2 linked regions of the Bombyx mori genome follow. The protein of the gene in region 2 interacts with the protein of the main gene of each other region in a biochemical or structural test. Links are inferred from orthologs where the notes say so. Each region holds a gene or a part of one and is shown on either strand. Other genes may lie near its edges.

What was found.
Region 1: the proteins of Rad51 (region 2) and 26S proteasome complex subunit SEM1 form a complex in vitro, tested with the Homo sapiens proteins (2 studies listed by BioGRID). The link is inferred for Bombyx mori from reciprocal best matches to the Homo sapiens genes RAD51 and SEM1.

Annotation. Positions count from the first base shown.
Region 1 is NC_085129.1:15,972,836-15,976,581, forward strand, and holds 26S proteasome complex subunit SEM1, read right to left. Parts: upstream 2,264-3,746; 5' UTR 2,192-2,263; coding exon 2,119-2,191; exon of another isoform or gene 2,034-2,118; coding exon 1,867-2,033; 3' UTR 514-1,866; downstream 1-513. UniProt on the Homo sapiens protein: Component of the 26S proteasome, a multiprotein complex involved in the ATP-dependent degradation of ubiquitinated proteins.
Region 2 is NC_085131.1:10,825,717-10,828,399, forward strand, and holds the end of Rad51 (rad51 homolog), read right to left. Parts: intron 2,511-2,683; coding exon 2,302-2,510; intron 2,130-2,301; coding exon 2,000-2,129; intron 1,682-1,999; coding exon 1,436-1,681; 3' UTR 518-1,435; downstream 1-517.

The sequences.
Region 1 (3,746 bases), on a different chromosome or scaffold from region 2:
GTGGACCTGTCTGATTTGTATGTTGTGTCGGTTGCAACCATGCTGCTACAGTGAGGGTAGATCTTTCATTCATAAACTGCATGCACGCACACACATGCAAGTCTTCCCTCGAACACAGTAGCAAGTGATAGGGCCAGAGCCATCAATTTTAATATTTATTTTATTTACCTTGAGGTGAGGAGGGAGTGTCTTAAAGAGAATTGGATTAACTGTGTGAATGAAGAGTATGAGTTCAAGAGATAACATATGATAAGCTTTGACTAAAAAAATAAGTGTGGGAAAGTGACTGTTGTACTATAGAACTGGGACTCATCTCAAAGTGGACAATGGAGTCGAATACAGAGCACTCCATCTATGAACTTTTATTCATTGTGGTTTATTCAGAGAGAGGCAGTATTGAACAATTCATTACAAAATATGTTAGATGCTGTTCAAGATAAACTGTGATCTTCTATCAATAAAACATGTATCCAGGTAACTAATGTTTCAAAGGATGTTCTAAAAATAAAACTGTTTGTAAAAAATCACATTTATTATTATTTAATTACAACTAAGCTAAAATTAAGATTTCTGATCCTTCAGTTTTTCCAGTTGTTGCCTGAAATGAAATAAAATTGTTTCAGATATAATTTACATTTGGTAACTGCTCTCCAGCAGTCCATACTCATCATATGTAATGACTAATAATGTTAGAAACATAAGTACCAACAACTAATTATCTTAAAAGATTATACAGTACATGAGAGTCATTGCAAACCAGCGCAGATCGTCCCATTCGTGCCTTCCTGCAGCAATGTACTAAAGGAGGCTGATTTCTATGGAAAGCATGTATCTAACTCAAACTAGACTTCAGTATTATATTTCAGAGTGGCCAATTGAGTTCCTATTATGGTCTCTATGTGCTTTAATTACTGATACTAAGTGCATACTCTTATATAACCAGAAATATCAATATTTATAAAAAATATTCAATCTATCTTTTTACACAAGATTTATAAATTTGAAACAAGTTTCAATGCTAATTGTATGTACTAGATGACATTTCAACTAAAGATTGATTGCTGTAACATCAACATAAAGGTATTTAATAATATTTAGAGCAAACAAGAGGCATGTTCCTGCTGTAAAATAAAATAAAAACTAGGTGCGTTCGAGGCACGAGACAAATTAAAAATATAAATTTATAAAATTTTGTTTTAAGGTTTGGGTTTTAAATAGTTCTAGAACTTAAAATATAGCTTACTGTACTATAATATTAAATGAAGTCACATCAGTAGTGTTCGCTTAGAATTTACTGGTGATAGGAGCTCTTGTGAGTATGTACGGGTAGGCATCACCACCCTTCTGCCGTAAAGCATTTCAGTTTGAAGGGTAGGGCAGCCGTTGTAACAATACTGAGACATTACACGGGCGGCATTAACGTTGTAGATGTCTATGGGCTCCAGTAACCACTTAACGCCAGGTGGGCTGTAAGCTTGACCACCCATGTAAGCAATAAAAAAACATGGACATTTATTCAGATAGCATAAATATATAATGGAGAACAGAAGCTTGGTCCTTATTATTCTAAATTTAATCAGAAACAATACTGTCTACGATTTGCTACCAAAAGGTTCTTGGCTACTTTGGTCATATTTCTCAGCGGCCACCAAACAACCTTGAAAAATTGTCTGTAGTGGGCAAGGTAGAAGGGAAAAGACAGCCGGCCGGCCGCCGAACTGTTGGTCGGATCAGGTAACCGCGCTGATCGAACTCTCTGTTGCGACCGCCCTGAGAGAAGCCGAAAACCGAACGAAATGGAAGCTGATGGTACAAAGAGCCACGAAGGCCTTTCAGGGACATGACCTTCAGCAATGGGGTATGCGATTAAGAAGAAGAATCAAATACGACAGCAATTGGGCCCATATGAAGGTAACAGAAATCTTTAAGATCTAACCTCAACTGCTGATTAAAATCATCTTGGATGACGTCGTCTTCCCAGTTGTCTTCCCAAACCGATACATCTTCATCATCAGCGTCTTCTGTACCCCAATCTACAAGAAAATTTGAATTAAAATAGAATGAATGAAAACATTTTTTGTTAATTTCTTAATATTCTTCATCTGGAGGTTTACGTACTTTCCGCGGGAAATTCTTCGAACTCGTCATCCTCTTCTAGCAAACCAAGGTCTACTTTCTGTTTGTCAGCCATTACACTGTGATGATTATTGAAATAAGGAAATATCACTTAATGTAGCAGAATAAATAAGATGCAAGTCACAACACAACTGTCACGTAAAATGTAAATTCACAACAATAAACAGTGTTGCCAGATGACCGTGCGAATTTCCCCCCAACTTTTTTCGAAAACCCCCCGAAAATAGGCTTTTTGAAGAAAAAAACCCCCAAAACAGTTTTTACTTATTTTAAAGAAGAAATAAAAAACCAAAAGGATTCTTTTATTTTTTAATCAAGCTATCCCTATAACTTCAACCATCTCTAAGCAATTATCACGATCATATTCACTTTCGTTATTATTATTTAAAGCATACTCGTTTTCGAAGTTAAAGATATTTAACAAGTCCGATGTGGGAACAAAATTTATACATCTATTTGGCAGTGAAGATCGAATCCTGAGAACCGCTTCGGCAGTTTCTATTGCTATTTGGTTGCATTATTTGTCCTTTATAATATTGACTTGTAAATAGTATAGTAGACTATAATTATTCTAATAGTAATTGCAAATTGATACTCAAAAAACCTCCGAAACTTCTCCCAACTAACTTTTTCCCCCCGAATGTCCCCCCAAAGAATCTTTCTCCCCCAGAGTCGAAAAACCCCCCAAATTTGCAGGGAATCCCCCCCATCTGGCAACTGTGACAATAAATTTTGATGTCAGAACAACGTGGTGCTGCCTGTATTGTGGTTGTTTTTTCCGAATTTAGAAATATTTAAGCAACTAGGTATTTGTTTTCACATAATATATTTCATCTCTTTTCCACCATGGTACCCCATGTCACCGTAGTAGAGTTAATTCATAGTACTTTTTTATATCTTTATGTAATATCTTTTTTGCCATACACCATCTGGCTTTGGAAATAACTTTTCTGTACGATGCTTCCTGAGCGCAATGTCTTATTCTTCTTAAAACGAGTGTTGATAACACTACTACAAAGACAATAAAAAGGGACATATTCCGTTTGCACTTAAATTTGATTCGAACAATCTCCACCTTTAAAAAAACGAGTTCATCTTAATAGTTTTCTTTACCTAATGCAGAAAAATTATCAAATCAAAAAGGATCTGAAATCCCTTCATTGTTGAACCCTTTTTTAAAAAAAAAAAATCCTAATCGTACTCAAGGTTGGAACCTTGAGTGTTAGTCGTGGAGCCGGTTAAATTAATATAATTGAAGTGTGAATGAGTAACCTAATTTTGCCGCAAGAAAAACAATTACAAAATCTGTGTACTTAAAAGTATTGCAAGAAGTATTTCTACTTGCGTGTCCTAACTAACATCATCGACGATTCATTTGGTATCCGAATCGTGAAAGTATAACTTTTGTGTTCAAAGTTGAGCTTTCTATCTTTTTATTTTATTGTACTAGTATTAATGATTAATACTTTAGCTGCCTTCTTGTTCACAAACACGAACATAACTTACCTACTCTGTTTATCATTGTAGGCAATGAAACAACTTAATAACCTTACACTCGTTTATTTTTAAAATATTGTCGGAGGATAAACAAAGTACTTAACTTATTAATA
Region 2 (2,683 bases):
TACTACCGGGTGCCCGCCTCACTCCTACCCGCGATTGTAAATCTGAGATCGGCAAATCAAGACGGGTCTAGTGCAGGCGTATAGTTAGGTAATAACAGGAAGATATTACACGGAATAGGTTGGACGTAGGTTGAGCTGGGCTGAGGACCAGAGGCTCTATTAACTACGTAATTAATCAATAGGTCAACGCTTTAGTTTTTTTTTTTCAATTGTGACTGTTGAATTCTAGCAAATTTACGAATAACAGGGTATATATGAATAGCTATTGGTAACAAAATTCAGATAAATTAAGAATAGGATAGACGATTTTTAGAGCACTAGCCTTGACAAAAACCTATTTATTGTAAAGAATGAAATAAAAGCAATAATATTTATAAGGTATTATGTATGTATCAAAAATAATGTTATTTTCTCGGAATAATTAATGAATGTATATATTTAGACGGATATAAAACTGATTGTTGAAAATAGAATATAACAAATTTTAAGCCTGTATTTTGTGAAAAAATAAAAATAATGAAAATGTAAAAATAGTTTTATTTGACACTGGTTCTCTTTAAATTACATACCTACTTATTTACAGTTGATCCTGGAATTAATGCTTAAATACAATGAATGAATGGGTATTACATAAAATGCCTTTAATATTGTGAAAAGAAATACTAGATAGTTTTATATATAAAGTCGAAACAGTGATAATTTAATGAATGAAATGGTTTTATTTATAATAGTTATCGCAGCTACATATTATTATATGGTCTTATTCAGATTTATTGTGAACTAATGAAAAGCTGTCACGTATAACCGTCGCCAATTGTTCAAGAAACAAATTTTTTTTAACTATTCACGTGCTGTCTGTCATATGTTGCTGGTACTGCAACAAACCTTTTCTAGATTGCCAATATTAATTACAAAGTTTCATCACAATCGCATGAATGGTTTAGGAATTCATAGAGAACAAACATTACATTTTATTTATATTAATAGTTATAAACTTAAAATTTATAAATTGGATTTATTTTATTGGACCTTTATAATTTTTTGGAAAATTATAAATGTCCAATAAGTCGCGATGAATAAGTCCGTAAGTTATTATTGTATTAACAAAATAAAACAATTCACACATCACTACGCTACCAACATGTTCTAAGCTCATTCACACAAATTGATGTTGCCATTTAAATGAGCTAAAATAATCTACCAAATTATATAAATTAATTAAGAGTGTATGTTCCAATATACTTATTTTTCCATCATATTTTTTTTTTGGATTTAGAGCCATTTTCTTCATTTTGAGTGGTTATATATATTATGTACATTCATTGTTTCTTTTCCAGTTTTTATTTTATTTTTTTCTTTGTTAACATACACTACTACGTTGTTTAAAATGATATTTAAGGTTGATGGCAGTGATGATATCACCTTAATTAAATTATTATTCCTTAGCATCCGTGATGCCTTCAGCGCTAATCGCAAACATAGCTTCTGTTTCGGGCAAGCACGGACTATCGTATATTTTACACACGCGATTATCACCTCTACCCTTCCGTAAATAGAGTCTAGTTGTGGACGCGTGCGCTATGATATGACCTCCGATTGGTTTCTTGGTATCAGCATTGAAAACTCCTACAGCATCCACTTGTGCGACCACTTGGTTTGTTATGATTACTGCTACTCCAAACTGGAATGACAGATTTGAAACTTTATTGGTAACTCATCAAAATACATGTACATGAAATATATACACACTGCCTCTCAAAATATAACACAATCTAACTTTTACGTTTATCACATAATAGGATTAAAATTCACTTGAAAATAAATACCATCCGTGATTTGAATTCGAAATCATTATTCAACTGTTTCAATAGATAGAAATATTTATAAAGAAAATCCAAATTGTTCACAATACGATTTTAATTATGTAAGCACTTTACTAAATTACAGTTGTATTTTCTGAAATAATTAATATAGGAAACTACGTGGAATATTTACTTACCTCATCAGCCAATCTGAGCAACATTCTCATGAAACGACCCAGATGTAGTTGTCTAGAATTCAGTTCCCCTCGTCCAGAATAGTCTGTCCTGTATAGAGCGGTTGCACTATCAACTATAATTAAGGAATATCTGAAAATTGTATGCACGTAAGATAAATTTTTAATGCGTAATAAATAAATTAATTGAAAATCAAATTATTTAATATATATATAGTATAAAAATAATTCACAAGTAAAAACAATAAAAAATTTATAACAAATTCAGAAAAACAATTAAATAGATCTATTATAAAATAATTTACCTTGACTCTGCCATCATGGCGCAAGCTTGCACTAGCAATTGGGTCTGATGGTCTGTGTTATAAGCTCTTGCATATGCAACATTGTCCAAGACTGCCGCACCTTCCATACCGTATCGCTGTGCAACGGCCAGCAGTCTTTCCGGTCTGAATGTTCCTTCTGTATCGATGTACATGCATTTACCCTCTCCACCAGATTGTTCAATGGGTAGCTGGGAAAATTTAATAAGGCCAAGGCAATTGGTTTTCAGTAATTTAAAATTACCAATATGGGATTTCTATTTAAAAAAATAATGAAATTATTAGATATTTTACATTTTACAATATTACATAGAAGCGACATTGTTCATTGAACAATTTTTTCTCAATTTTTTTTGGCTGCCAC